5 linked regions of the Macaca mulatta genome follow. The protein of the gene in region 2 purifies or fractionates together with the protein of the main gene of each other region. This does not show direct contact. Links are inferred from orthologs where the notes say so. Each region holds a gene or a part of one and is shown on either strand. Other genes may lie near its edges.

What was found.
Region 1: the proteins of PLEKHM1 (region 2) and VPS41 purify together in Homo sapiens (affinity purification with western blotting; 4 studies listed by BioGRID and IntAct, with this or other methods). This does not show direct contact. The link is inferred for Macaca mulatta from reciprocal best matches to the Homo sapiens genes PLEKHM1 and VPS41.
Region 3: the proteins of PLEKHM1 (region 2) and VPS33A purify together in Homo sapiens (affinity purification with western blotting; 3 studies listed by BioGRID and IntAct, with this or other methods). This does not show direct contact. The link is inferred for Macaca mulatta from reciprocal best matches to the Homo sapiens genes PLEKHM1 and VPS33A.
Region 4: the proteins of PLEKHM1 (region 2) and RAB7A purify together in Homo sapiens (affinity purification with western blotting; 5 studies listed by BioGRID and IntAct, with this or other methods). This does not show direct contact. The link is inferred for Macaca mulatta from reciprocal best matches to the Homo sapiens genes PLEKHM1 and RAB7A.
Region 5: the proteins of PLEKHM1 (region 2) and VPS39 purify together in Homo sapiens (co-immunoprecipitation; 3 studies listed by BioGRID and IntAct, with this or other methods). This does not show direct contact. The link is inferred for Macaca mulatta from reciprocal best matches to the Homo sapiens genes PLEKHM1 and VPS39.

The regions. Positions count from the first base shown.
Region 1 is NC_133408.1:89,464,550-89,471,237, reverse strand, and holds the start of VPS41 (vacuolar protein sorting-associated protein 41 homolog), read right to left. Parts: upstream 3,668-6,688; 5' UTR 3,651-3,667; coding exon 3,630-3,650; intron 1-3,629. UniProt on the Homo sapiens protein: Plays a role in vesicle-mediated protein trafficking to lysosomal compartments including the endocytic membrane transport and autophagic pathways. Acts as a component of the HOPS endosomal tethering complex.
Region 2 is NC_133421.1:69,810,979-69,816,153, reverse strand, and holds part of PLEKHM1 (pleckstrin homology domain-containing family M member 1), read left to right. Parts: intron 1-2,132; coding exon 2,133-2,196; intron 2,197-2,717; coding exon 2,718-2,875; intron 2,876-4,068; coding exon 4,069-4,180; 3' UTR 4,181-5,175. UniProt on the Homo sapiens protein: Acts as a multivalent adapter protein that regulates Rab7-dependent and HOPS complex-dependent fusion events in the endolysosomal system and couples autophagic and the endocytic trafficking pathways.
Region 3 is NC_133416.1:129,608,734-129,615,453, reverse strand, and holds the end of VPS33A (vacuolar protein sorting-associated protein 33A), read left to right. Parts: intron 1-359; coding exon 360-497; intron 498-3,637; coding exon 3,638-3,806; intron 3,807-4,180; coding exon 4,181-4,362; 3' UTR 4,363-4,647; downstream 4,648-6,720.
Region 4 is NC_133407.1:155,145,923-155,151,858, reverse strand, and holds part of RAB7A (ras-related protein Rab-7a), read left to right. Parts: intron 1-509; coding exon 510-728; intron 729-1,697; coding exon 1,698-1,826; intron 1,827-5,936.
Region 5 is NC_133412.1:19,585,778-19,592,273, reverse strand, and holds the start of VPS39 (vam6/Vps39-like protein), read left to right. Parts: upstream 1-2,827; 5' UTR 2,828-2,981; coding exon 2,982-3,054; intron 3,055-6,496. UniProt on the Homo sapiens protein: Regulator of TGF-beta/activin signaling, inhibiting SMAD3- and activating SMAD2-dependent transcription.

The sequences.
Region 1 (6,688 bases), on a different chromosome or scaffold from region 2:
CTCACTGCAACCTCTGCCTACTGGGTTCTCTAAGTGATTCTCCTGCCTCAGCCTGCCGAGTAGCTGTGATTATAGGCGCCCACCACCACTGCCTGGCTAATTTTTTTGTATTTTTAGTAGCAACAGGGTTTCACCATGTTGGCCAGTCTGGTCTCGAACTCCTGACCTCAGGTGATCCACCCACCTTGGCTTCCCAAAGCGCTGGGATTACAGGCCTGAGCCACCGCACCGCACCCAGCCCAGCCCAATTTTCTCCATTTTTATACACTTTTAGCTTTTTAAAAAATGATATAATAAAGCCCTACTACCGCCATCAGATTTCAATGGCTTCCTACTGTCAAATGCAAAAAAAAAACAAAAAACAAAAAACAAAAAACAGAGAAAAGCTTAACCATTTTTAATCTATAAAAGATAAGATTAGGTAAAATTACTAGCTTTCTTTAAAAAAAAAGAACTTAACAATTTGTAAATGTTTGTTTCTTTCGGCCATTTACAATAGACTGCTGGGGGGGATTTTTTGTTTTGTTTTGTTTTGAAACAGGGTCTTGCTCTGTTGTCCAGGCTGGAGTGCAGTGACACAATCATGGCTCACTGCTACCTCAACTTCCTTGACTCAAGCAATCCTCCCACCTCAGCCTCCCAAGTAGCTGGGACTACAGGCACACACCACCATGCCTCGCTAATTTTTGTAATTTTTGCAGAGACAAGATTTTGCTATGTTGCCCAGGCTTGTCTTGAACTCCTGGGCTCAAACAATCGCCCCACTTCGGCCTCCCAGAGCGCTGGGATTACAGGGATGGGCCATTGTGCCTGGCCCACCACTGGTCTTTTTAAGAAAGATATTCACACCATTGGAGAGGAGAATGCCCATTCCAACTATATATTAGGCTGTTAAAGTATCAAAGGTGGAATGATGGCTTGAGGGAAAATCATTAAAATGAAAAGGGCTAATGCTACTTTACAAACTAAAAAATAACAATTTAGATTGAGGTTCCTACATATATTTTTAAAAGGTAGGATATTCTAATGAAAAGTCATGAGCTTTGGAGACAGAGGACTGGAGATTTATATTATAGATATAAGCCTGAGCACGTTACTCAAGTTGCCTGAATTTCAATTTGCTTATCAGTAAAAGTCAATCATTTAACACATTTTATTAAGTACCAAGCAATATTCTAGGTATTGGACATACAACAGTGAATAAATCCTTGTCATGATGTTCCAAGCTCTGTGGTGAGAGGTACACAGCAATATACAGGGGGAAAAAAAACAACAAATTTTAAAATACAGTATGTCAAACGGTGATGCACATTATAGAGAAAAATAATGCAGGAATGTTTCAAAGCATGGTGAGGGAAGGTCGCAATGGAAAAGAACACTTGGACAAAGACACGAAGGAAATGAGGAATTAAGCCTGTAAACGTCAGCGTTCCTCAAAAAGAAACAGCATGAGCAAAGTCCCTGAGGTAGGACCTGCCTGGCTTTTTGAAGAATAAGAAAGCCAGTACAGTCGATGCAGAATCACAGAAGGGTAGTTGGAAAAACGAGGTCAAGAAAAGGTGGCTAGAGGCAGCTGGGTCAAGGTCCTGTGGGGCAACCAGGCTACTGTAATGGCTGTGGCTTTTCCTCTGAATAAGATTAGAAGCCACTAGAAAGTCTGGAACATCAAAGGTGTTTCACCCATGTATAAGAATAAACATTTACGGCCGGGCGCGGTGGCTCAAGCCTGTAATCCCAGCACTTTGGGAGGCCGAGACGGGCGGATCACGAGGTCAGGAGATCGAGACCATCCTGGCTAACACAATGAAACCCCGTCTCTACTAAAAATACAAAAAAATTAGCCGGGCAAGGTGGCGGGCGCCTGTAGTCCCAGCTACTCGGGAGGCTGAGGCAGGAGAATGGCGTAAACCCGGGAGGCGGAGCTTGCAGTGAGCCGAGATAGCGCCACTGCACTCCAGCCTGGGCGACAGAGCGAGACTCCGTCTCAAAAAAAAAAAAAAAAAAAAAGAATAAACATTTACCTCACAGAATTCTTTTAGAAGACCAAATGCAATATGGAAGGGTCTTAAAACTAGAAAATAATGTACAAATGTGAAACATTATTATATCCCTAACTTTGTATGCGTCATTTTTACATCCAACAACTTTGTCAAATTCTTCTTCGGCACTAAACAGTGGTAAATATTTCACAGGTTTTTTTCAAGGGAAGAAAAAACACTGGTTTTTCTAAGAGCAACTCTCTCCATTTTTATTATACTATATCTAAGAACATATGAAACTCAGTTTTTTGCTTTTAAATCAAACCATGAAACAAACATTTCAACATGAAATAGATGCACAATGTGAAAAACAATCTCGCCCTTATTCAAACAAGCAATGGCAGTCATGAAATGATACGTTCTTATGGAGCGTTTTCCTTTTAATTGCCAGAATGGAAATGTGAGGTTCTAGTGTTAGATAAGAGATTTTGTTATCTTGTTATCACAAGGACCAGCCAAACCAAATTTCATCCTAGTGAAATGTCTCAATTATTGGCATATGTAAAACATATACAGAGCAAATTTTCACTATGAAGTAAAAACAAATGAAGTATGTTGAAAATAGTAAAAATTATTGAACTAGGTAAATGTCTTACGACACTAAACAGCCCATCAAGTCACTGTTTAGAGACAATCACTGCTAACAGCCCTGTTAACTTGTGAGGAAAAACAGTATCCAACTGAAATAACACTGGAAAAGGAAACTCAGGTTATCTCCCCCAAGTTCTAGCCTCTCTTTTGGTCTGCTTCACTTTTTTGTCTTTTTTATTTTACTTCGTCTTTTCATAAAACGTGGGATTACCACTACCGCTATATGAAAATAATCCGTATTCCCATCACTAATTTCTACGCTAAACTCCAGTGCCACATTGCCAGTTGTTGACTGGATACTGCCAGCCACAAATAATCCCATTTAACTTTTACTGAGCCCAATAGTTGTAAGCACTCTAACTTTGTGTATAAACGCTCTCCATCTTAAACCACACTCTGAGGACGGTCCTATTATTATCCCCATCTTACACTAGAAAGTTAAATCAGTAGCTCAAAGTAACACATTGAGTAAGAAAAGGAACCAGCACTTGGACCCCAGGCATTTTTGCTCCAGAACCGATGCACTTAATCCCTGCTGCATCGCAACAGTGCTCCAGTTCTGTACCTAAATCCGATACAAAACAAAACTCATCGTCTACTCTCTCCTAGTTCTTACTGTCCTACTTCAAGTGGAAAGCAACGTAAATTTCAGTCACCTGGCCTCTCTTCCGCCTCCCACAGGCAGTCAGTCCCTGGGGTAGCCTGGCCTGCCTTCATGCCAAAATTTCACTGGGCAAAGGGCACAGGGATGGGGCCCGAGGAAAGGCCGCCTCCCGAAGGCGGGGGTGTGTCGGTGCGCTTTCCCCAGGTGCCCTCCCGGGGCTGGCATCCTCTCTGCTCTCCGAAAGCAACTTTCACCGTCCCATCCCGCCCTGCCGCGGGCCTGCGTTGCCCTCTTCCAGCAGCTCCGCACCTCCACCCACTCCACTCCACCCTCCCCAAACAGCCCACCCTAGTCTCCATATCCCTGTGCCCTCAACTACCAACTGCACCCTTTACCTGCTCCTCTGCTTCCGCCATGGCGCGACCGGAGAATCACATGACACACCCGGAAATGAGAGGAAACCAGACCCTGGGCCCGGGGCCTTCTGGGAAATGTAGTTTTAGCTTCATCTGAGCCTGGAAATCTCTTCTAGGGGACGGACCTCTTGGGGCTCATTTCTGCTGCCAATTCTCCAAACTCAATGGAGTTCTGCTTTGAAGAATCTGAACATAACCATTGCTAATACTATAGCTTATTTTATTGTTGTTCTTGTTTCTGTAGTTATTCTAGTGTTTATTAAGGACTTAACTATATCACGCCCTGGGTTTATAGCTTTGCATAAATTATCTCATTTAATCCTCACAGCAATTCCTACCATCATCACCATTTATAGGGGAGAATACCGTAGCTCAGAGGTCATGCAGCTATTAAGAAGCAGAACTAGTAACAATTCAGCCCTGTCTGATGCCAAAGTCTCTGTGATTGCCAAATGCTGCTTACTCTAAAAGTGTTCTTATCCTTTTTTCTCTCTCTCTCTTTTTTAAGTACATTCAGTGAATATAAAGCAGACTTTGCAGTGGAGAGCCAGAGAAAATTTATACACCAACAAATAATATTATTATTTTTGCTTGCTACTTTAAGTTGTCTTCTCCTGTCATATGAACATTGATTTTAAAAAAGAATCTCTATTGTTTAATAAATTAAATGTTAAACTTTTGTTGAGGATATTCAATAGGTAAATGTTCAAGTGGAGACACAATATGAAGTTGTCTTTGGTCCAAATCTGCACAACCACTGTATTCCAGCCTTCAGAATGAGTGATCCTCTCTCCATGTTTCTGAACATTATGAATTCTTCTTCTTAATCCTCAGGAATCTGCAGCACCTTATCCAAAGACAGACATTTAAAAATTTCCATTCACTGGAGTAGCTAGTGACCAGTAGAGGGCATCGCAAATGGCAGCATGTGGTGGTTGCCTCAGTACATTTTTGACTCCCTGTGCCTCATTGAGTCTGACCCAGTAGGAAGTCATGGACTCAGTACTCTGTCTGTAGCTTGCTCAACCCATGATTCCTCAGTTGCCCAGAAGCCAAGGTGACATCATCTCTGAGACACCTATCTTCTCCCCAGGGCCTAAACAGCCTTACCTCCATCTTCTTCCTCCAAGCCTTGCTGGGGTTCCTCTTCCAGTGGGCTAATCACTCAGCCAACAGGATAGACCACCCTGGGGCATTTAAATGTCTATAAGCAGCCAGGTGTAGTGGCTTTCACCTGTAATCCCAGCACTTTGGGAGGTCAAGGCAGTCAGATTTCATGAACTCAAGAGTTTGAGACCAACCTGGACAACATGGCAAAACCCTGTCTCTGCAAAAAATACCAAAAGTTAGTCGGGCATAATGGTGTGTGCCTGTAGTCCCGGCTACTCAGGAGACTGAGGTGGGGGTTAAGGCTGCAGTGAGCCTTGATGGTGCCACTCCAGCCTGGGCAATGAAGTGAGACCCTATCTGAAAAAAAAAGAAAAAGAAAAAAGAAATCCATAAGCAATCACCCAATGTCCTAAGTATAAACCTAGGGAAAGTATAAACCTAACCCAAGAGTTTCTGAAATATCTTACAAAGCAGTCCAGGGTCAAACATTGCTCATGGTGAACTTCAGATCCCAGAAAGACTTTAATACAGACCAAAGAGACTGTGGAAGCTCTCAGTCCAGTATCCATGGGAAAGAGAGATAAAATGAGATCTTCTACTTTTCTGATTTTCCTCACAAACTCCAATTTTCTCTTTCCCATTATGAGTGACAGGACTACAGCCTCTCCAACTTGGCAATCTCCTCTTCTATGGTGAACAGATGAGATTGGGATGAAGAAGGAAAACAGAGGATTATTGCCACTGTCTTACCCACAAGGGCATTTTTGTTTTATGGTTCCATTTTATTTCAGTGAGAAGTCAAGCCGCCCAAGCAAGCAAAGCTGAAGGCCATTCACTCTGGGCCTTCCTGGCCTTTCTACTTTTCCGGAATGAGAATGTTTATTCTCTTTCTCTTTCTCAAAAAGGGTGTTATGGGTCTTATTAAAGATATAGCCAAAGTTTACAGATTTTTCTCTGCTCATTTAACCATAGAAACTCTCAATTCCCCAAGCTTGTTCCGCATTCAGTATACTCTGTTGATTACAATAAAATATTATCAGCCTCTTTCCTTTTGGAGAGACTGGAAAAGGGAAGAGACACAGGTATGGAAAGCTGGATTAGAGGAAGAAACCTACTGTGAACTAGCAGGTTCATGATGGGCCAGTGGACAGGATGAAATTCACATGTGAACTCCAAACCCCATTTTCTCATGTGAAGTGAGAATTTGAGACTCTCTTATCTAGGTGGTCTTGTACTCTCCAACTACTCTAAGTGTAGTCCAAAGACTACCTAGGAGCTTGTTAAAAATGAAGAATTTGGGGCCCTTTGAGAGACTTGTTTAACCACAATCTAGATTTTAATAATATCCCTCAGTCATATGCATATACTTTAAAGTTTGAGGAGTACTCAGCCTGTCACTGAATCTGTGTCAAATCACCTGCTTTTTTTCTTGCACATAATCAATCCACCCTCTCCCAGCTTCAAGATATGGAGGTAAAGGGCTGGGCGCAGTGACTCACGCCTGTAATCCCAGCACTCTGGGAGGCCAAGGCAGGTGGATCCCCTGAGGTCAAGAGATTGAGACCATCCTGGTCAACATAGTGAAACCCCCTCTCTACTAAAAATACAAAAATCAGCCGGTCATGGTGGCGCACTCCTGTAGTCCCAGCTACTTGGGAGGCTGAGGCAGGAGAATCACTCAAACCCGGGAGGCAGAGGTTGCAGTGAGCCCACGCCACTACACTCCAGCCTGGTGATAGAGCAAGACTCTTTCTCAAACAAACAAACAAACAAACAAAGCAAAACAAAACAAAAAATATATGGAGGTAAAAGTAAGATTCAACTTCTCATTCTCAGTCTATAGGACCTAAAATTGTTAATAGACTTCGGAAAACAGACCTAAGACCTTATATTTGTAGAGTGGCTCACTGGTTTCAAGGATCTGTATC
Region 2 (5,175 bases):
GTGAAGGGGACAGCCCTGGGTGGCAGCTGGTGTTAGTAATTAACTCCAGGGAGCTGGGCCTGGACCAAGTCAGCCAGAGGGAAGGTTGAGAGGAGGAGAGGGCTGAGGCATGGGCAGGTCTTGGATGTCAGGGAGTCAGGGAGGAGCTGTCCTGCACTAATGGCAGCTGCCTGGCTGGATTCTCTCCAGCAGACCTAGGACCTGACTCCAAGAGCCAGAGAAGCCCCTGAGAGTGTCCTCTCCAGCCTTGGGAGGAAGCCATCTCAGAAATGCCCCACACCCTGTCCACCCACCAGACCTCGGTGTCCTTCCCAACGGCCAGGGAGCGGTGGGCCGAGGAGGAGTCGGGGCTCAGGAGACAGGTGGCACCCAGGCCCCCATCCATGTCCCCCCAATCTTCCAGCCCTTGCCTGGCCTTCTCCTTCCCCATCACTTCATCGGTTCCAGGAGCTAAGATTTGACCTCTCCCCTCATTTTCCTGTCTCCTAGAGAGCCCTCCAGATTCCTGTGGTCTGTTTCCCAGCCTCACACCAGAGGACAAAGAGGGTTCTCCTCATTGTGTGGGTGAAGAAACTGAGGCCCCAAGTAGGCCTGGCTGTGCCCCAGTGCACGAGAATTTCTTTCCTGGAGGCCAGGAGGGGAAGTGGCCTCTCACCCCTGGGCCAGCACCCTCTCCCCTCTGGCCTTGACTGAGCACTGCGGAGAAGCCAGTTGCAAGTCCTTGCTGAGAGGGTGACGGGCCCAGGGCACAGGGGCTCCTAGAGCTTCCACGACTGTGGTCAGAGGACGGATGGCAAAGCTAATTCTCCATCCAGATCAGCCCACACTCCTGCTAGCTCAGGGCCAACCTGTGTCCCCCCAGCCTGCTGTGTCCCATGTTTTCTTGGTGACAAATGGCAGCTTCCCTTCCTAGAGTGCAGGAAGTTTACTGGGGATACCAGCTTGGTAAACTGAGGGGCCAGTTGGCATCTTGGCCTATATGGCTGCTTGGTGGGACTTACTGTCTCCACCCCGGTTTGGGCTCCCCTGGACCACAGCTGAGGCCACCAGCTGGGACAAGGCCAAGCCCCCATTCCAGATGCTCCACAGCTTGCACCCGGGAGGCCCAGACCCAGGGCTGGCACCACCCTGTCCCCAGATGTCTGGGGCATCCTGGGGCAGGTTCCCAAGCATCCTCTGACTTGGAGTAACCTCCCACCGCCAGTACCCACCCAAACACACACAGCCAGGCCAGGCAGGTTTTGTACCAGGGAACTTTCTGCAGGTGTTTCCTCTCCATCTCTCAGGATGGGGCCCCCTGGATCCCTCCCGTTGGTGTAGTGGAAACTAGAGCTGCATTGGCGGCTGAGCCTTTGTTCTCTGCTGCCCCGGCCACCTCTGAAATGGGATCTGCTGTACTTAGGACACGTCTCAGTTGCTCTCGTGTAGCACGGAAACCAGACACTTTAATGTCTGTCCCTCAGCCAAACCAGGGGCCAAACAGGAGGGCAGAGGCCATATCCTGTGCATTACTGTCCCCAGCACTGTCCCTGGTATGTAATGGTGGCAATAAGGACAACAACCTTCATCTCTAGGCATTTGCCAGGTAGACAGGGGTGCAGGCTCTGGAGCCAGGCCCCTATGTTCAAACTCCAGCTCTCCCGCCTACTAGCTGTGTGACCTCAGGCAAGTGATTTAACCTATTTCCTCTTCTCAGTTGGGATTGTGATAGTACCAGCCTCACAGGATTATTGTGAGAATCAAATGAATGAATGCGTATGAAGCTCTTAGCCCAGTTCCGGGTCCCAGGTGTCAGCACCCATCCTCCTCCTTATGATTAATTACGTGTTTACTGTGAGCTCGGCACCAAGTCAAATGCTTTAAATAAGTTACTTAATCCAGACAACTCCATTTCCCAGAGAGGGAAACCCAAGGTTCAGAGAGGTTGAGTAACTTGCCCAAGGTCCCACCAGCTAGTTACCTTGAAGACCAGGCCCCAAGCCCAGGCAGGCCGAATTACGCTCCTAGCCCCTGCCCCGCCCAGGCGGCAGGTGTCTGCCTGGTGAGCAGTGCCAGGGGAATGAAAACAAACAACACAGGTTGGCCCGGGTCTTGGAAACCTCTCTAAAGAATCGCTTGTGTTTTGTTTGAAGGCTCAACCACAGGGATTATCTCCTGGAGTCTCCGCATAGGTTCAGTGTTGCTGACCTCCAGCAGGTGAGTGTCATGCTTCCCCCGCCCAGACCTCCAGAGAGGCCTCTTTCCCGGAGAAGTCAGCAGGGAAGATGGGAGGGGGGGTGTCTGTAGTTTACTGAAGACAGCAGTCTGCAGCTTTTCTGCAGCTCAGGGTGGGTTGCCCTGCTGCCCTGGCTTCCTGGGCGGGGACGGATACCCACAGCACCCTGGAATAAGCAAGCACTCCAGCAACCCCAGGATCACAGGAAGAGAGTTTGGAATACTCCTTTCTCCAGGGGGCGGGTACAGTGGAGTCGGGTCTCATTTGTGAGTCCCATTAGCCCTGAGTGACCTCAGTGCCCACGGGCTGGACGCTGGCACTGCTCAGCCTGACTCAGCGAGGTTTTCTTTTCTTGCCCACGTGGAAACTGGGGGTAGAAGTTCTCCAGGCAGGGTGCCATGGCGCCTCAGTGCAGGTGCTTGAAAAGCCTGGGGCCTCAGTTTACCAGCCCCCCACAGATCGCAGACAGGGTGTATGAAGGATTCCTACTTGCCCTCCGCAGATTGCAGACGGGGTGTATGAAGGATTCCTCAAGGCCCTGATCGAATTCGCCTCCCAGCACGTCTACCACTGCGACCTGTGCACCCAGCGCGGCTTCATCTGCCAGATCTGCCGGCACCACGACATCATCTTCCCCTTTGAGTTTGACACCACAGTCAGGTATGTGGGACACCCAGCCAGCTGTCTCCCAGCCCCACCCTTCCCCACACCCACAGCCTGGCCCAAGCACTCAGGGCAGCAGGCCTCGTTCTATGGGCAGGAGCGTATTGAACATCGGCTTTGTGCCGTGCCAAGGGATGGTGCAGTTGTTTGGGACGGCCCATGCTCTGGGCAGTCATGGCCAGCTCCGGTCCAGCTCAGGAGACAAGACAAGCTTTCCCAGGACTCCTCTGCCTCTACAGAACCATCTGTCTTCCTAGAGGTGGCTGCCGGCTCTCTGAGTGGAGCCTGCTGGAGCCACAGTGTATGCATGGGTTGAGGAGGATTGTATGAGTTACTGCCCTGTACTGTTGGCATGAGACCAGGCACAAAGTGGGCACCTGGTGGGTGGTACCTGCCACTGCCACTGCCTCTGTTGCTGAAATGATCACTCTTGTTCCAGTTATTGCTCATTATCAGCAACCTCTCAATGGAAAAATTTGTCCAGACTTCCTGCAACCCATGTGGGAGTGGAAAACTGAACTGGGAACATTAGTTCTTTTTCTGTCGGTGTCCACTGGCCGGGATTCAGCCCTGAATGGGCCTGGGGCTGAGTTTTTTAAATTATACCATCTTGGCCGGGCGTGGTGGCTCACGCCTGTAATCCGAGCACTTTGGGAGGCTGAGGCAGGTGAATCCCTTGAGGTCAGGAGTTCGAGACCAGCCTGGCCAACATGATGAAACCTCGTCTCCACTAAAAACACAAAAATAAGCCAGGTGTGGTGGTGGGCACCTGTAATCCCAGCTACTTGGGAGGCTGAGGCAGGGGAATCACTTGAATCTGGGGGGCAGAGGTTGCAGTGAGCCAATTTCATGCCACTACACTCCAGCCTGGGCAACAGAGCAAGACTCTGAAAAATAAATAAAATAAGTAAATGTTTTTTAAATACAGGCAAGAAATCTTTAATGACTCTCAAGCAGCATTTATAAAAAAATGTAGTAGGACAGACAATATCAGTGTGCATTGTGTGACATATGGGTAAGCACTGTTTTGAGAATCTCCTGTTCCAGAATGGAGAGGTACAGTGTGCGTGCATGGGTTACACAGTACGTCACAGCCGTATCATGGGTTCTGGTCAAAAGCGCTGGCCAGCGTGGCCACAGGGCAACCTCCAGCCCAGCCAGCACCAGCAGGTGTGCTGCTCTCTCCCCAGGTGTGCCGAGTGCAAGACCGTCTTCCACCAGAGCTGCCAGGCTGTGGTGAAGAAGGGCTGCCCCCGCTGTGCCCGCCGGCGCAAATACCAGGAACAGAATGTTTTCGCCTGATGCCCATCTGCTGACCCCGCTCTGAAGGCCGGGGGTGAGTGTGGCTCAGCCATCCCAGCTGGGTTTGCCATCAGCCCAGGATACTCACCGTGTCACAGCTGTGTCCCCTTGTCAGGAAGACCCTCAGATGTGACCAGAGCACCGGCCTTCCAGAGAAAGCCCAGGAAGCCCCTGTGATGTCCCCTGGCCCCCTCACCACCCCTCTGCTGCAGGAGGCGTGGCCACCACCAGATGCTCCCTGTCTCCGGGCAGACAGGGCCTTTCACTCACCAGGCCCTGGCTCACCAGCGTCCCGGCACCCCTCTTAGGGCTGCCCAAACACTGTGGAAAGGAGGCTTGGGGAGCATTTTCAATTCCACATTCCTGATTAAAAGGTCTAGTTTTTTAAGGTGGGTTTTTCCCATTCATATTTCAACAGAAAGTATTTTTTTATTCTTGATCCTACGCGAGTCACCCAAGAAATCAAGACATTCTCACCCCCAGTGGGTGCACAGGAGCCACTCAGGCCTGGCCTAGAGGCAGCGGGTGGCTGGCGGGCAGGCCACTGCTGGGACAGGGCCTGTGGGCCCACCCAGTGCCTTTCCTTGGCCCTCACTGCCAGTGCCAAACCGCCCCTCAGCAGGGCAGGGCCAGTCCTGGTGACCCCGCTTCCTCTCCGTCTCTTTACTCCTCACCCCAGTGCGTCTCGCCTGCTGAGCACACCGCTTGTGCGTCAGAGCCCCTAGCTCTTCTCTAGCCGGGGGCCTTGGCCCCATTAGGAGAAGGAGAAATGACTGGAAACCAGCACTGTCAGCACTTTGAGCCCTCCTCGGTTTAGGGAGGGTCACCGTCTTGCCCACCCCCTATCCCCGTGCCCTCCTCACCCCTCTACAGATAGGGGCGCTGCTGCAGATGCTCCAGGCCCACCTTGGTGGGTGCCTGGGGTCACACTCTGCCTGACTAACCCCTGCCAGGGCACAGATAGGCAGGACCCCAGAGAGGGCAGGCAGCCATGC
Region 3 (6,720 bases), on a different chromosome or scaffold from region 2:
TCTTATCAGGATGTGTAGATATGCCTTATTCTTTTTTGGAGCTAATTATATACCATATAAAAATATACTATCATTTATTTGATGCTCACTTAGATTGGGTCCATACATTCTGACTTTAAAGTAAAAAAGTTTAAATTTCTCTTTGAAACAGTGAGCTGAATTTATAGTAACAGGCAAGCAGTTTTAGGACACGTTTCATCCCTCCACCCTGTCCTCTGTGCCCACCCACTAACATTGCTGGACTTTGGTAACATGTCCTACGGTACAAACCAAATTGATTTGTTGGAAGTGCCCTTCTTTGAAAATTGCAGAAATCCTTTTCCTGATCTTATATCAAGGCCAAATGACTTCCCTTGCAGACATATGGCTATGAGCACATATTGACCTTACACAACCTGGAGAAGGCTGGCCTACTGAAACCGCAGACGGGGGGCAGAAACAATTACCCAACTATACGGAAAACATTACGCCTCTGGATGGATGATGTTAACGAGCAAGTAAGCCACACTTCTCCACCTCGTCTCAGCTTAGGGACTGGTTAGATCGTCCACATGACAACACATGCTTCTGAACCTACACATCTGCCTTGCTTTCTAAAAACAATTTTCTAATGTTTTTGAAAAAGTAATGCATCATGTATTGTATCCATCAGAACCCTAGAAGGAAACAGAGAATGCTCTTAAATTGGGGAGTTTCTGGAGAGTTTAATAAAGATGTGGGCCAGGCGCGGTGGCTCACACCTATAATTCCAGCACTTTGGGAGGCCAAAGCGGGCAGATCACTTGAGCTCAGGAGTTTGAGAACAGCCTGACCAACATGGGAAACCCCATCTCTACTAAAAATACAAAAATTAGCCCGGCATTGTGGTGCACACCTGTAATCGCAGCTACTTGGGGGGCTGAGGCAGGAGAATCGCTTGAACCCAGGAGGCGGAGATTGTAGTGAGCTCAGATCGCACCATTGCACTCCAGCCTGGGCGACAGAGCGAGACTCTCTCTCCAAAAACAAAAAGATATGGGGCAGGCTCAGTGGCTCATGCCTGTAATCCCAGTGTATTGGGAGGCTGAAGTGTCAGATCGCTCGAGTCCAGGAGTTCGAGACCAGCCTGGGCAACGTGGCAAAACCCTATCTCTGCAAAAAAAAAAAAAAAAGGCCAATGGTGGTATGAGCCTTTAGTCGGAGAGGCCGTGATTAGAGGATCACTGAGCCCAGGAGGCAGTTGCAGTGAACCATGTTTGCGCCACTGCACTCCAGCCTTAGCTAGGGAGTAAGACTCTGTCTTAAATAAATAAAGATGTGGGAAGAGCAGAGACCAGTAAGAGGCAGTGTGGTAGGGAGCCCTTGCCAGATGCGGCCTGAAGAGCAAGGAGAGGGGGGTATTCTAGAAACTTATCTTAGAACCTGGAGAGAAGAGCTGTGGTGGGGCCATCTGTTGAGGTAAGGGGTGAGGGGCCTCTGGCTGAGGGTACGGTCAACCTCCAGCAGAGGAAGCCAGCCAGTGACAACCTCGTCCTCACACTGCTGCCCACTCTCCAGTTCACTCTGGTGCTTTGCACTGGTCAGACCCAAAGAGAAGGCATTGGAGTGTGTTGGTGTGGGACCTACAGGTCCATCTCTGGGCATAGGGCATTGCGGAGAAGGGTGGAGAGTGTCTAGAGGAACCAGTGGAGACGTCCAGCTCTCATAAACAAGCCAGCCATGGATGGGCGCGGTGGCTCACACCTGTAATCCCAGCACTTTGGGAGGCCAAGGCAGGAGGATCACTTGAGGTCAGGAGTTCAAGACCAGCCTGGCCAACATGATGAAACCGTGTCTCTACCAAAAAATACAAAAGTGATCAGGGCATGGTGGAGCATGCACCTATAGTCCCAGCTACTGTACTCAGGAGGCTGAGGTGGCAGGATCCCTTAAGCCTGAGAGGTTGAGGCTACAGTGAGCTGAGATTGCACTGCTGCACTCCAGCATGGGCAACAGAATGAGACTCTATCTCAAAAAAAAAAAAAAAAAAGAAAAAGAAAAAAAGCTATGCAAAAGCAGGGCCATCAGGGCCAAGTGAGTTTCCTTCCACCGTTTCCCCTCAGAGGCAGTCACGGTGGCCAGTTTTTTATCTATCCTTCCAGAAAGATTCTGTGCATATACATTTTTTTTTTTTTTTTTGAGACGGAGTCTCGCTATGTCGCCCAGGGTGGAGTGCAGTGGCCGGATCTCAGCTCACTGCAAGCTCCGCCTCCCGGGTTTTTACGCCATTCTCCTGCCTCAGCCTCCCGAGTAGCCGGGACTACAGGCGCCCACCACCTCGCCCGGCTAGTTTTTTGTATTTTTTAGTAGAGACGGGGTTTCACCGTGTTAGCCAGGATGGTCTCGAACTCCTGACCTCGTGATCCGCCCGTCTCGGCCTCCCAAAGTGCTGGGATTACAGGCTTGAGCCACCGCGCCCGGCCGCATATACATTTTTACATAAAGAGTGCATATTCTCTACTGTTGGTCTCCAAAGTGGGGTGCACTTTGCTATACATTTTTTATTCTAATGTTTCTAAATTTCAGTCTTTTTTGTTTTTTCATAAGGGACTTTATTAGGCTGCCTCTTGCAACAAAAGCTCGTAACTAGACAGTCTCCTCTGTCAGGAGCAAAATTGGATGGTTTTTTCCCAGTGGGAAAATAGAGGCCCTTAATGTCTAGAGTCTGTCATGTACGTATTAGTTCAGCTGCCTTCACTGTTCTGACCTTTCTGACTCCTGACCCACCTACCACTTAACAAAGGATCTTGAAGGGTCTTTTGTGATCTTCCCCTTCTTTTTAATTTTTCTAAATTGCTACGTAGTGGTTTTGAGGCTATACCTTATTTAATGATTTAACAGATTGCTACTGATAGAAATTCAGGTTGTTTCCAGTCTTTGCTATTACATGCAGTGTTGCAGTTAATATGTTTATACTTTGGTCTATTATCTTTTGTTCTGCAAGCATCTCTGTAGGATTAATGCCTAAAAGTAGGATTGCTGAGTTCAAAGGTTACTGCACATCATTGCTCAGCTGGGGAGTGCCAAGTTCCCCCCACTACATTTCATGCTGGCCGGACGCAGTGGCTCAGGCCCGTAATCCCAACACTTTGGGAGGCCGAGGCAGGTGGATCACCTGAGGTCGGGAGTTCAAGACCAGCCTGGCCAACATGGTGAAACCCTATTTCTACTAAAAATACAAAAATGAGCCAGGAGTGGTGGTGCACACCTGTAATCCCAACTCCTTGGGAGCCTGAGGCAGGAGAATTGCTTGAACTTGGGAGGCGGAGGTTGCAGTGAGCCGAGATTACACCACTGCACTCCAGCCTGGGCAACAGAGCCAGACTCTGTCTCAAAAAAAAAAAAAAAAAAAAGAAGTTTCATGCCAAACCAAGTAATTTTTCATCTTCTGTACCTAGAGCTGCTTTGAGTGGCTTTTCAAGATTTGAGTCAAAAGTGAAGCTCTGGCTGCTAAAATTGAGCTCTGCTGGGGTGGATTAGAACAGGGCATGGCAGGGGTGGGGGTTGTTTATCTATCTTTAAATCCAAATCAAATAATTTTGGATTACCCAAAAGGCCACAGTCAGGTTGCTCTAAGTCTCTGTATCTACAGGATTTTTGTTCTTTAATTATCTCACAGAACCCCACGGACATATCCTACGTGTACAGTGGGTATGCCCCGCTCAGTGTGCGGCTGGCCCAGCTGCTTTCCCGACCTGGCTGGCGGAGCATCGAGGAGGTCCTCCGCATCCTCCCAGGGCCCCACTTTGAGGAGCGACAGCCACTGCCCACAGGACTGCAGAAGAAACGTAAGTCCCAGTCCAGCATCTACAGATAATTATGTCCTGTTAGTGTGGTTTTCAGGTATTGTACAGTTGCTTTGTAAAATACTTAGTAAAGCACTTAGGAGTCAGAATTAAATATACCTCTTTTGTTCGTTGCTAATGTATATAGTAAGCACTAGAGTCGGATTATTCCCTGAGGGGTAGCAGCTTTCAACTTCTATGTTGAGAATCTCAGGAGTTAGAAAAAACATTGAGATCAAAATCAGTATTCCTGGGTTTCAGATGAACTGTCTGGATGAAGACACTTGTTTATTCTTGTGAATGATAAAATGTTTGAAGAGGTGGGAAGAGGAGCACCAGTAATAAATAGTTTTTAATCTGAAATGTTTAAATTTTAGGTCAACCAGGAGAAAACCGAGTGACTCTGATATTTTTCCTCGGGGGCGTAACCTTTGCTGAAATTGCTGCCCTGCGATTTCTCTCCCAGTTGGAAGATGGAGGTACAGAATATGTCATTGCCACCACTAAACTAATGAACGGAACCAGTTGGATAGAGGCTCTGATGGAAAAACCTTTCTAGGGTATTCAGAGGAGACTTAACGAGTGTACTGCAGAATAAACTGCCTCTTTGAAGAAGTTGCTGAAAGGAAGTTAAACCCCATAGAAGAAACATGGAATGCAGAATATATTCTGGGGTCAGCTTCTTAAATTATGCTACCGTTTACTGCTTTCTCCTTCTCTTTTGTATTCCATTTTTTTTTTGCTTTGAGACGGAGTCTCGCTGTGTCACCCAGACTAGAGTGCAGTGGCGCGGTCTCACCTCACTGCAACCTCGGCCTCCTGGGTTCAAGAGATTCTCCTGCCTCAGCCTCCTGAGTAGCTGGGACTACAGGCATGCACTACCACACCACCACACCTGGCTAATTTTTGTATTTTTAGTAGAGATGGTGTTTCACCATGTTGGCCTGGCTGGTCTCAAACTCCTGACCTCAGGTGATCCACCCACCTCAGCCTCCTACAGTGCTGGCATTACAGGCCTGAGCCACCATGCCCAGCCTCTAATCTGCTGAATAAAGAAGAATAGAAGAGAATCAACCTGAGTCAAAGAAGCACTGGTTTTGAGTTTTCTAAGCTCAGGGTCTTCATTAGAGGCCTCTGGAAACACATTAAGGATGGTGGGGGTAGATAATCCATTCTGCCAGACAAAGGAGGCCGGCTGTTAAAATAAGAAAGCTGAGACTGAGGAGGTGAAACTGAAAATAAAAAGAGAAAGTCCATCCCCTAATCCCCAGTGCTGTATTTCTTCAGGGTGCATCAGGCCTAGGACAGTGGTTAAGTGTTGGGAGCTAGAGATCATTTTATCACTGAGTTGAGATTTCTTTTTCCTGCAGAGTATGGGAGATTATATTTAGGGTCATCAGTCGCTGTCGCAACTGATCACTAAGGCAAGTTTGCTTCCTTCTACTTCTTACAAAGCAAGAGGTTTAGAGGAGCTTCCTGCCCAGAAACAAAGTTTATGCTCTATGCGATCAGCTACATTTCTGTAGGTTCCATACTTATCAGGGGCTTTTGACATGGAAGAATGTGATAATTGAGGAGCAGCCTTCTGGAATTCAGCCTTTGAAAGAGGTCAAAGACAGTTTCTTAGCCCACATGGTAACTCCAGACACAGCAGTGGTGGATGCCTCCATTGAGGTTTCCATTTTCTCTCCTGTCCATCAAGGGCCCAACATCCAACTGGTCCCACGATGAGGAGGGGCAACTCGTGCTTCTTCAGCATCTGGCCACTTTGTTTCCATGGTAACTGCCACATGTACTTTTCTAGCAGTCTGTGGCCACTCCTTTCTCAGCTGAAAACACTGTTTCAGCCCCCTCTCTGGTGGCCTCAGCCTTCTCCAGGTGTATCTCTTGATCTTGGAGCCCAGCAGTCACAGCTGCTGCTACTCCTGCGGGAGACTGTCAGGCTGTGGTGGAGGGCAGGAGGTGGGAGGAGCAGTTGGAAATCCGTGTGTTCTCTGCCTCTCTGCTGCTCCATCTCAGCTTCTGGAGGAGTTAAGGCACCAACGGCACCAAGTCAGATAGGCAGCTTTGCTGCCCTTGCCCAAGCCGCTAGCAGAATTAGTTGGTCCGCTGCTTTTCTGGGTCCCAGCGAGGTGTGGTTTTGGTTGTTGATTAGTAACTACACATTGTTTTTCCCCACCTTTTTCATTAGTGGAGTTTTTTTTGTTTTTGTTTGTTTGTTTGTGACAGAGTCTCACGCTCATGCCCAGGCTGGAGTGCAGTGGTGCGACGTCGGCTCACTGCATCCTCCACTTCCTGGGTTCAGACGATTCTCATGCCTCAGCCTCCTGAGTAGTTGGGATTACAGATGTGCACCACCACACCTGGCTAATTTTTGTATTTTTAGTAGAGACGGGGTTTCACCATGTTGTCCAGGCTGGTCTTGAACTCCTGACCTCAGGTGATGGGCCAACCTCGGCCTCCCAAAGTGCTGGTATTACAGGCGTGAGCCACTGTGCCCAGCCCATTAGTGGAGTTCTGATGGGCACGGTAAATACTAGTAATGAAAGAGAAATTCTGTATACTTTTAAAAATCTCTTTAATAAAAGAATGCGGCGGCTCAAGCCTGTAATCCCAGCACTTTGGGAGGCCGAAGCGGGTGGATCACGAGGTCAGGAGATCAAGACCATCTTGGCTAACACGGTGAAACCCCATCTCTACTAAAAATACAAAAAAAAAAAATTAGCCAGGCCTGGTGGCGGGCACCTGTAGTCCCACCTACTTGGGAGACTGAGGCAGGAGAATGGTGTGAACCCGGGAGGTGGAGCTTGCAGTGAGCCAAGATCGCGTCACTGCACTCCAGCCTGGGCAACAGAGCGAGACTCCATCTCAAAAAAAAAAAAAAAAAAAAAAAAAAAAAGGAATGAAGGGTGGTAGA
Region 4 (5,936 bases), on a different chromosome or scaffold from region 2:
TTGTATTTTTAGTTGAGACAGGGTTTCTCCATGTTGGTCAGGCTGGTCTCAAACTCCTGACCTCAGGTTAGCCACTGTGCCTGGCTAGGCAAACTTTTCATACAGTAAAATGCATAAATGGAACTGTATCATTTGTGAGTCATCACCTCACTTCCCTGTATTTCCATTGCTCTCAGAAAGTTCCCAGAGTACCTAAGTTTTATTTACAGTTCAAATTTTACACACTTACCTAAATGTGACCACTACTTGGATCAAGATATAAGAAATTTCTAGCGCCCTGGAGATTGGACTCGTGTCACCTGCTTATAGACAGACACATACTTACATACAATATTTGTGAGGATTGTTTCGGATACTCTGGTGCTGAAATTTGCTTCCTGAAGTCTGGTGTCATTTGTCTTTGTGGGTGACCTCACAATCTAGCCCATTTCTTCTGGCATCCCCTGCATACATGCTCCTTGTGCTCTGCCTAGCACTCTCCCGAGGAATAAATGTTTTGTCTCTCACAGATATGGGACACAGCAGGACAGGAACGGTTCCAGTCTCTTGGTGTGGCCTTCTACAGAGGTGCAGACTGCTGTGTTCTGGTATTTGATGTGACTGCCCCCAACACATTCAAAACCCTAGATAGCTGGAGAGATGAGTTTCTCATCCAGGCCAGTCCCCGAGATCCTGAAAACTTCCCCTTTGTTGTGTTGGGAAACAAGATTGACCTCGAAAACAGACAAGTAAGTACCAACGATGATAGATATTGTCACAGACACTTGCTCCCAAGGGGCCTTGTGAATTTGGAGGGTTCTCTGCTAAGCTCACATGGCTCTAGGAGGTGCTGGTGGGAGTCTTCATCACCCTATGCCAGCCCTTCAGGCCAACTGCCTTTAAGGACTGGGACCCAGGTGACCTGGGTTAAGTCCCCATCCTGCTCCCAGCTGGCTGTGACTTTACGCCATTGTCTTGGCTATCTCAACTTCAGTTCCCTTTCTGCACTTTGAAGGAGGGAATTCAGTTTTGTCATTCTCAGTAGTGCCCTCCCAGTACCTCCAGGCCGTGCTTGGATCTCCATGTGTGCAGAATATTGCTTTGGGCTTTGAGTGAAATTGCTGTACTATAGTTATAGTTTCAAATATCATTTCTGTTGGAAACATAGACTCTTTGATTAATTACGACTACGTTTATTTCTGACCATGGATCTTTTTTCCTCCCCTTCCTAAGTGACTTAGTCCTTATCTCTTGGCTGAAAATGGGCTAGGGGTTGGGGAAGGAATGAGAATGTGAGAGTGGCATGGGTGACATCACACTAGCAGTAATGGTAAAGGGACTCTAAACCTTAAGACCAAGCTGCTGGGCATTTCCTGTCCTGGGATCTCTGAGGTCCCAGTAAACACTCTTCATTTCTTCCCAGACTGGCTTCTTACTCCATTCACAAATGGCTTTTAAGTATAACTGAGGGTCAGAAGGTATGAGCTGTAGACTGAGACAGGCTTTGAGCTCTCTAGCTGAATCCTAGCTATCCTGAGCATAGCCAGCAGGGCGAGTTTGGACGGGTCTACTGGTCTCTTCCAACACCCTCTTTCCCCACATCTGTGTCCTCACCTGTACCACCTGTAGACGAGGGACCATGACACTTCCTGGGGAGGATGGAGTCAGTGCTAGCTGCTTCTATCATGAGCCTGTGTGCACCCTACTTCTCCTTTCAGGTGGCCACAAAGCGGGCACAGGCCTGGTGCTACAGCAAAAACAACATTCCCTACTTTGAGACCAGTGCCAAGGAGGCCATCAACGTGGAGCAGGCGTTCCAGACGATTGCACGGAATGCACTTAAGCAGGTGGGTCTCCCACAGCTGACCTGCCCACTCTTGTGATGCCTGACCACTGACCCAGTCCCTGCCTGACCTCCTGCCCTTAATCTTCTTCCCTAACCCACTCTTTTCTATGTAGTCAGAATACCCTAAGTGTTCATCTGGGAAGGTTAGGACATGCTCTGCTTAAGCTTCCAGAAACCCCACTTTGGGGAAATAACCTAAAAGATGTAGAGGCTGGGAAGACTGAGACTGCCCTTCTTTTACTAGGCTTGTTCTTATTTTCTTGGCTGCGATTAGGAGATCAGGTCACTGGGAGACCCCTGATCAGATTGCTGCTCTATTTAAGAAGGAACTTAACTTGAATACAAATCCCAGCTCTGCTGCCTACCAATCATTATATCTAGTTTGGGCTTAAAAATATATATATTATGGCCAGGCATGGTGGCTCACGTCTATAATCCTAGCAGTTTGGGAGGCCAAGGCGGGCCGATCACTTGAGGTCAGGAGTTTGAGACCAGCCTGGCCAACATGGTGAAACCCCATCTCCACTAAAAAATAAAAAGAAAATTAGCCAGGCCTGGTGGGGGTTGCCAGTAATCCCAGCTACTCAGGAGGCTGAGGCAGGAGAATTGCTTGAACCCAGGCGGCAGAGGTTGCAGTGAGCCAAGATTGCACCACTGTACTCCAGCCTGGGTGACAGAGTGAGACTCTTTCTCAAAAAAAAAAATTAAAAATAAAATTATATCCGAACTTCTACCCCCTCACCTGAAAAATGGGAATACCTGCTTTTGCAGGGTGATTATGAAGATTAAATGAGACCAACTTTTTCAGCTCTCACATACTGACAGGTAACTTTTTTCCTTAGGAACAGTTAAGTAAACAAGGAAGAAAATGTAGGAAAACTATTCAAGGAATACAATACCTAGAATTTCTTACTTACTGTTTCTGTGATTAGATACAACCACTCATGCGAGTTGAAAGTCTTTTTTTTTTGTTTTGTTTTGTTTTGTTTTGTTTTGTTTTGTTTTGTTTGAGACGGAGTCTTGCTCTGTCACCCAGGCTGGAGTGCAGTGGCCGGATCTCAGCTCACTGCAAGCTCCTCCTCTCGGGTTCACGCCATTCTCCTGCCTCAGCCTCCCGAGTAGCTGGGACTACAGGCACCCGCCACTTCGCCCGGCTAGTTTTTTGTATTTTTTAGTAGAGACGGGGTTTCACCGTATTAGCCAGGATGGTCTCGATCTCCTGACCTCATGATCCGCCCGTCTCGGCCTCCCAAAGTGCTGGGATTACAGGCTTGAGCCACCGTGCCCGGCCGAAAGTCTGTTTTGATGTACAACTCTGTTAGGGGCAGTGGTGATTAAGGCAGATCACGAGGCCTCATCAGACAGGGTCTGGGGGTGGTCAGAGGTGTGACAGGTTTGGGGGGATGCATAGAGCACTTGAAGCACATAGTGGCTGTGAAGGGCAAGGCAGATTCTGCTGACTCCAGGAAGCCGGCAGAATGAAGGTAATGGCTTTCAGCAGGACAGAGAGTTGTTTGGAATGGTTGCTCCAAGGACCAGGGAAATTCTGGCATGAGTGGGGTCTGCACTAAGTGTTCCAGAATGAAAGGGACAGACCTACTCAGTGAGGAAATTGTTCCACCCAGAATGCCAGGAGAGCCCTCAAGTGGTAAGGAAAAGACCAAGATGCAGACTTGGCCACCCTCACCCACAAATAATAAACGGTTGTGTTTTTCTTAATGTTCATATAAGGGAATGGAAATCCAAATCGTGTAGGATAGTGTTTCCCACCTGTTTCCCTGTTGCCTGGCATCACCGTCTGAGTTTTTCTCTTCCATCACTACTGTCCCTGTTGTCTTTATGCTTTTATTTTTAGAGCTAGCCCCTAAGGAGTTAGATTGTTACATTGGAGGGTCTGTTTTATTATAAGTTAGGGTGCCAGGTTGCTTTCCCCAAGGGGAATAACATTTCAGCAGCGTGGGCTTGCTTTGTTCTACCTCCTTGCCAGCAAGCAATAGGTGTCACTTGTCACTCTGCTGACATTGCCAATCTTTGGGTGTATAAATTGCCACCATCGTGGCTACTGTTCCCTCTGAGTCCCTCTTCCTGGGGCTTAGCCATTTGGATTTTCTCTGCTGCACACAGCTAGCACATAGCACATGGTTGGGCCTCTCTCAGTTCTCATGAGCTGCTAGTCAATTGAAGTTAATTCTACTTGCATCTCAAGTGACTTTTTCAACTCTGTGGTATTTTTAAGTCCTTTGAACATAGGAAAAAAGTAATTTTTTATTTGGGTATGTCATTTTAAGTTTCTGTGTTTCCTGTGTCTACATCAGATTTTTCTCTAATTCAGCTGGAATTTGTTTTGGCTTATGGCAGGAAAGAGAGACTTGCCTTTTCTCTCAGAGAGCTCAGCCAGTTGTTTGAAATCATTCGGCTATGTTACATAAGCCGTTTCCCTCCCTGAATAGACCGTGGCCTGTGCTAAATGCTCATATGTGCTGGGATCTGTTTCTGGTCTCTCCAGTCTGTACTGGTGATGTCTATGCCATGTTCCCTTATCTGGACTGTCTTGATTTCACTGCCTGATAAGGCAAGTTTCCTCTTGCCACATTCTTTTTTTTTTTTTTTTTTTGAGGTAGAGTCTTGCTCTGTTGCCCAGGCTGGAATGCAATGGCGTGATCTCAGCTCACTGCAACCTCCGCCTCCCGGGTTCAAGTGAATCTCCTGCCTCAGCCTCCCAAGTAGCTGGGATTACAGACATCTGCCACAACGCTTGGCTAATTTTGGTATTTTTTAGTAGAGATAGGGTTTCACCATATTGGCCAGGCTGGTCTCAAACTCATGTTGTGATCCGCCCACCTCAGCCTCCCAAAGTGCTGGGATTACAGGCATGAGCCACCCTGCCCTGCCTGCCACATTATTTTTTAATAATTTTGTTTCAGTTCCATGATTTTCCTCTCTTACCTTCCACACCCCAAATAAAACTCTGTTGAGATTTTGATTGGAATTTTTTTCTTCAAGCCCACTGTTTTTTCCCCATTGATTGCAGTTTTGTTGCAACTGTTGCATTAGTCTGCTCAGGCTGCGTTAACAAAACCCCACAACATGGGTGGGTCCAACAACAGACATTTTGTTTTCTCACAGTTCTGAAGGCTGGAAGTCCATGAGCAAGATGCTGGCACATTTTGTTTCTGGTGAGGGCGCTCTTCTGGGCTCACAGACTGCTGTCTTCTCACTGTGTCCTCCCATGCCCTTTCTGCTGTGTGCACAGAGAGAGGACATATGAGTAAGGTGTCTGTGGTGTCACCTCTTCTTGAAAGGACACGAATTCTCTCAGATCAGGACCCCACCCTGCAACCTCATTTAACCTTCATTCCTTCCTTACTCCAAATACAGCCACCTGAAGGGTTAGGGCTTCAACACAGGAATTTTGGAGGAACACAAACATTCTGCCCGGCCGGGTGCGGTGGCTCACACCTGTAATCCCAGCACTTTGGGAGGCCGAGGCAGGTGGATCACCTGAGGTCAGGAGTTCGAGACCAACCTGGCCAACATTGTGAAACCCCATCTCTACTAAAAATACAAAAAATTAGCTGGGCGTGGTGGTGGGCACCTGTAATCCCAGCTACGTAGGATGCTGAGGCAGGAGAATTGCTTGAACCTGGGAGGCGGAGGTTGCAGTGAGCTGAGATTGCACCATTGCACTCCAGCCTGGGCAACAAGAGCAAAACTCCATCTCAAAAAAACAAAACATTCCACCCATGAATCTATTTTAGGTCTTGTTTCTGTTCCTTCAGTAAGATTGATTGATTTTTTTTTTTTTTTTTTTTTTTAAAGAGACAGGGTCTTGCTCTGTCAGGCTGATACGCAGTGGTGCAATCATCATTCACTGTAGCCTCCAACTTCTGGGGTCCAGTGATCTTTCCACCATAGCCTCTTAAGTAGGTAGGACTACAGACACACCCAAGCTATAATTGATTTATAATAGGATCCTTTGCCTTTCACAGTAAACATATTCCTAGGTACTAGTGGCAATATAAAATGTCGCTATTTGTAACAGCCAAAAAGTAAGAACAACTCAAATGTCCATCAACTGATAAGTGAATAAACAAAGGACAGCTTATCCATG
Region 5 (6,496 bases), on a different chromosome or scaffold from region 2:
AAAAAGAAACTGTTACAGTATGATTCAGATCATTTAAAAAAGCAAAATCAAGTGCAATTTTGTTTACAAATGGTGTATATTAAAGATTTTTCTATTTCAGATGTACTTTAAAGAGAAATATTAGCTTAACTCTTTTGACATCTGCTATTGTGACACATCCCATTGCTGGCAATGTGGTGCACACTCCAAAACTTTTAACTACTGTTTTGTAAGCCTCCAAGGGTGGCATTGCAGGGTCCTAGGCAATGTTTTGCTTGCCTTTATGCAGAGAGGTGCTCCAAGTGCTGTGATTGAGCACCATGCTAGAGGAACTGTAATGCTTCAGAAGTGGTAGCTTATACAAAGGAAACAGGTCCTGCTGGCTTAATTTAAACAGTTATTGCATGAAGTAATGTGGAGGCCCTGGACTGCTGCTCATTCTTTAGGATGGACTGTTCTGGTATCTGGTATTGGTTTAGAGCCTGTTTATAAGGGACATCACAAGGTGATGGGATTCATTTGAAGCACTCTATTTCTGTTTTAATGGTTTTATCCAATTTTGCCTTCCCAAGATTTTTGTTCTACATAAAAAGTTCATGCCACTTTTTAATATAAAAAAATTTAACAAAATTAATGTATTTTTCTCATTTTTTTCAAACTTTTTCTGAAGACCATTTCTCTCAAACTTATGAAACATTTCCTTCCATGGCTTTTATTCTAGATTATCTTGTTTTCTGTTAAAACCAATGACCACATGACCACAATCTTCACTAACTCATACTGCAGTGAAAGTGTTAACCCTTAGGTAGTTTCTCTACAACTCTTTGCTATGGTGATTTAAAAAAAAGTTTCCTGGGAAGTATCTCTGAGGAACTGCAGTCTGAAGAACTGACTATATTCTCATGCTAATTCATTAGCCAAAGGCTGGTGGTATTGTTGCATGCTGCTATTGCATATTAAAACTTAGCAGATGAATAATAGTTGTAATGCAGCAAGATAGTTGGTCAAATTATTTTTTTAGGCTGGTTTGATGTTGACTTGAGACTAGGAAAAAAAAACCCAAAAATCCCTTGTGTTAAGCAGGAGTGTATAGTACAAATTCTATAGCTTGGGCCTTGGTAATTCTGCTTACAGCTCTCTGTATTACTGGGAGTGGATATAGTGTGTCATTTCTTAGGACAGGTTCAGAAGAAATTTATAGCTTTACACTAATCTGTAAAACAATATAAACCTTAGGGTTTTGGGCCTGAACGAAAAGGTACTAGACCTTCCAGCACAACAGCTGGTAATTCTAAATTTTTAAGAAGGTGATCAGCTTCTATGGTGAAAATCAACTGTAACACAGGATTTGTTTAGCAATTTTTGTGTTTATGACTACTTGAAAGTGTACTTTCACTTGATTATCAGAACAGCATTTGTTAAGATGGGACAAGTATTCCTAGTTTACATATGAAGAAATTGATACTGTGTAAAAATAAAATGACCAGGACCAGTTTTTTTGGCTTCATATCATAGACTTAGTCTTTTTCTTTTACATTTTTGCTTTAAACCCAAATGCTTAATTTTTTGACCTATCTGATGTTTTCCTAGGGGGAAATTACCAGATATAGATCATTCTTGCAGCTCAAACTAAGTTTTGTTGTTTTTTAAGTCTTCAAGGGGAATACTAAGGTAACCTCAGACAGTACAGGTCCCGGGTCCTGTAGGAGGAAGAGCCATGACACCTTCCTAAAAGGAATATTAGGATGTAAGACACAACTTGGGAAAGTTGAATTGGTAGGAATATGATCATCAAATTAAAAGGAGGCTTATTTCACTCACTTTCAAGAGTTAGTGAATCATCTGTTGCCTAAACTCTTGCTACTCAAAATGTGATCCAGGGACGAGCAACATCTGGGAGATTTTTGATGCTCAATTGAGGGTCTTACTCTGGTCCTACTGAATCAAAAGAGGCATTTTAACACTGTCTCTAGGTGATTTGTATGCACATTAAATTTGAAAAGCATTGGCCTCAAATGGTTCTCAGGGTGATTTTGCCTTCCAGAGGATATACAGCAAAGAGACATTTTTATACCTCTGTAGGGAAGATACTGGCATCTGGTGGGTGGAGGTTAAGGATACTGTTAAACACCTTACATTGCACAGAACATGCCCCCTCCCCAACAAGAAATTATCCTGTCCTAAAGGTGGGTAGTGCTACCACTGAACAACCCTAGCCTAAGATGGTGGTTCTCAAGCTTTTAAATGCATGGACTCACCTTGGGGTTTATTAAAACATAGATTACTGTTCCTTCCAGAGTTTCAGATTCAGTAGAACTGGAATGGGCCTGAAACTTTGCATTTCTAACAAGTTCACAGGTGCTGCTGCTACTGCTGTTGTTGCTGGTCTAGAACAACCATGAAAGCATAAAGGTAAGGTGCTTGTACTAATTGGGATATAATGGTAATACTAAAGCTACCATTTATTGAGAGCTTAGTGTGTGTCAGGTGTTGCTAAGCGCTCACGATACTGGATCACAGGTATTTACACAAATCATTTTGCAGATCAGGAAAGTATGGCATCGAAATATTAAATTTTCTAAATCACAGCGAATTTCCTAATTGGTAGATCTCCGTCTGAGGTCTGACGCCAAAGGCCGAGTTTTTAACCATCACACCCATTGCCTAAAACAGTTCTAAGATTAACAGTTTGTTCCTTCTATGGTAAGCCCATGGCTACTCGGGACAGAGTGGCTCTGGGTAAAGAGTGACAATGGCAACTCAGCAACAAGTCAATTCCTTGAGAGTGCACCGGGAGGAAGGGGCGGGACTTCGGCTGCGGAAGGGGCGGGCCTAATCAGCAGGAAGTCCGGGGTTGACGATGGCTGTGTTGTTGAAGGGCCTGTAGCTGGGGGGCATCCTGGCCGGATCCCGGCCTACTCTTAGCCCAGCCTCGTTCCGGACCCCAACCCGGCCCGGAACACTGTGGGCGAGACGGCGGTGGCGACTCTCCCCTTGCCGCCATGCACGACGCTTTCGAGCCAGTGCCGATCCTAGAAAAGCTGCCTCTTCAAATCGACTGTCTCGCTGCCTGGGGTGAGCCGAGGGGCTGCGGGGCCGAGGCGGAGTCAGCACGGGAGCGGCCCGGATCTTTTCTGAGGCCGGGGAAGTGGACAGGCGTTCATCCGTGTGGGCTTCGGTTGGATGCTACCCGAGAGGGGCTTGGGATGAGAGAAAGCAGAGAGATGACCACCGGCTGTAGACATCGATGTCTATGGGGCTGCTTGGGTGATCCCAGTGATCCAGTCATTTAGGGGAGTTCCCCTTGCTCTTGCTCCCTGTGCAGAGTGAGAGGATGAGCTTTCCTTTTTAATTGTGCTCAGCTTTAGCCCGTTTTGATTCCCAAGAAGTCTTCATTTTAGAGGGCCAAAGCAGTAAGAAGTTCTTAGCCTGCCAGGGGCTTGAAGTTGTCCAGATGTTTGTGTTGTTTTCTAGATGAAAGTCAACCCTGGTTTTGGGGGCATAGAACAAGTTAACACCATATGCTATTTTTTCCCTATAGTGATCACTCGTTCACTTCTCATTCCTGTAGGGAACTCATGTAGTTAGCTAACCTTTGAGTCTAGCCAAGTGGTTGATTACCTTATATCCCAAGTGTCCAAGTTACCTAACTCTGTAGGCGGAAGAGTTTCCAGACTGTCATGAAACCTAATCCATAAAAACTAGCATAGTCCTTTTGGGATTGACTAGTGCAGAAGGCAGGGACAGACATCTCTTGTGTGCTCTGAAATACAAATGAAGGTTTCAGGGATAACGGTGAACATTGTGCTCTTATCTATGAGTGACTGGTTTGATACCAGCCCCCAAAGACCAAGGAGATCATTTCTAACTTTCCTCCTAATGTTTAGGTCCTAGAAATCAAGGACCATAAAAAGATGATTCAGATCCCTTAATCAGATCTTATACTGGGCTACATAGGTAACCATGATGGGCCTCATGGAATCTTGATGTGTCTGATATTATATGCATCAGCTGTTCACAGTGTCACCGAGTCATCCTTGCAGAGTTCTTCATGACTTCTTCTGTAGGGTCCTTTCACGAAGAATTTTCATGTTAATGTGCACCCTTCCTCCTTTAGCAGCTCTGGGTCTCTTTAAAATCACACCTCCACAGTAAGCAGTTCTAGTCCTTTGGGTTAAGAGGAGAATCCTATTTCCTCCAGACATCTCAAGAAAACCAATTTCTGTCATTAAATGCTCTCATTAAACATTTAAATAGAGGAGGAGAAAGTTTTTAAATGAAAGACGTGACGCTGCATGAAGGGATTAATTCCCCCATTGCTTCATCAGATATACGTATTAGGTGCCTACATGGGCCATTCTCTTTGCTAGGGACAGTAATACAATGATGAATAAGAAACGGTGCCTGTGCTCCTAGGACACACATTGGGGGGACAAAGACATGTGAACAGATTATGATACTAGAGACATATGCTGCCTATTATTGCAACATGGATGAGGGGGTACCCAACTCAGCTAAGGACATGTTTCTGAAAGGGATTAAGGATTAATGCAGCTGTTGCCACACTTGACTTAGCCCGTCAGAATCCTTGACTCCGATCTCCTGTTGGACCATTAGCACATAGTGCTCCTAGACTCTCAGTAACTCCACTTTGTCACAGTAAAAATTCCTTGCACCTGTGGTTTTCAGGAACACAGTTTTGAAATGATAGGTAGCTTTTGGCCTTCCTTGATCACCCACCAAACAGGAGAAATGCTCTTTGCTTCCTAAGGCGCTTTGGTACACATTAGGTTACAAGAGGCCATTAACTGCCTCCTGCTTCAAAAGTGCTTTATTTCCAGATTTGAGCAGCAGTAATTATTGCTGTTTCTAGTCATTACCCCTTTTTAACTACATTGTGTCTTTGGATGCAAAGTTCGTCCAGGAATTTCCAGAGGCAGGTCACACAGGGCCAAATAATATTTAAGGTGTAAATGTCTTAGAGACAACATACTCTGTCTCCTAGGAAATAGAAATCAGGGGGGCTGGGCGTGGTGGCGCATGCCTGTAATCCCAGCACTTTGGGAGGCCAAGGCAGGCGGATCACGAGGTCAGGAGATCGAGACCATCCTGGCTAACATGGTGAAACCCTGTCTCTACTAAAAATACAAAAAATTAGCTGGGCGTGGTGGCAGACGCCTGTAGTCCCAGCTACTTGGGAGGCTGAGGCAGGAGAATGGCGTGAACCCAGGAGGCGGAGCTTGCAGTGAGCTGAGATCACACCACTGCACTCCAGCCTGGGCAACAGAGCGAGACTCCGTCTCAAAAAAAAAAAGGGAAATCAGGGGAACATGATGAGGGTGATTTCTTTCTAAACTCCAAATATGTATAATCCTGCTGCCTTTTCAGCATCTTCATTTGGATGTCTCATAGCATAACCAAAACAGTTCTTGATTCCTCTCCCCTCAAACATGCCTGTCCTCCTGTATCTTACATCTCAGCAAGTGGCATTTCTATTTACCTCTTTGACTAAGGCCAAAAGCTTTGGAATCGTTCCTGACTTCTTTCATTCTCTTTTACACTATATCCCATCTATCAGCAAATCTTGTGTGTTCTACCCCTAGAATAAATCTGAAATCCAGTCATTTCTGTCTTGATAATTACTACTCTTGAAGGCACCATCATCTGTCACCTGAATTACTGTAGTAGTCTTCTCATTGACCACCCTGTATTTGCCATTGTGCCATTTTCAGTTTTTTATCTACCAGGTAGAGTGAAACTTTGAAAACCTAAATCTGATTCCATCCTCGGCTCAAAACCCTCCCATGGTATTACATCACAACTAGAATAAGTTCCAAAGTCTTTACCCTGTCTGGCAACATCTGACATGCGGAGGCCCTGGTAACTTCCCTGTTTCCTGTGCACTTACCTCTCACGCCTTTCTGGTACCAGTCCCACACAGCCTTCCTTGTTCCATCAGTGCACAAAGCACATACCCACCTCAGGGCCTTTACACTTGCTGCTTCCTCGGCCTGCCACTCACTTACCTTTGTATATATGGTTCATTCCTCATTTCACTCAGTTCTCTGCTGAAATGTCACCCAAATCAGCGGAACCTTCCCTACGTATCCTATATGAAAGAGATTGCCACATCCACCACTGTGCTGTTTTCTTAGCCTTATCTTCTAATCATGGGTCACCATCTACTGTTGTTTTATGTATTTAATTATTATCGCATCTCTCACTCCACATTAGAATATAAGTTCCCTCAGGGCAGGAGCTTTGTTTTCTACATTGCTGTATCCGGAGTACCTAAAACGTTTCCTGACTCATGTTGATATGAATAGTAATAGCTTGCAGTTGTTAAATGCTAATCTGTATTAGGCTTTTATAAAATAAGACTCCATTTTACAGAAGAAGGACCTGAGGCTTAGATAATTTAAGAAATTTTTCCAAGGTCACATGTCCTGTAAATCATGTCTGCTTCTAGAGCCTGGTTCCCAAACTTGAATGTATATTCAAAGCCTGTAAAAAAAAA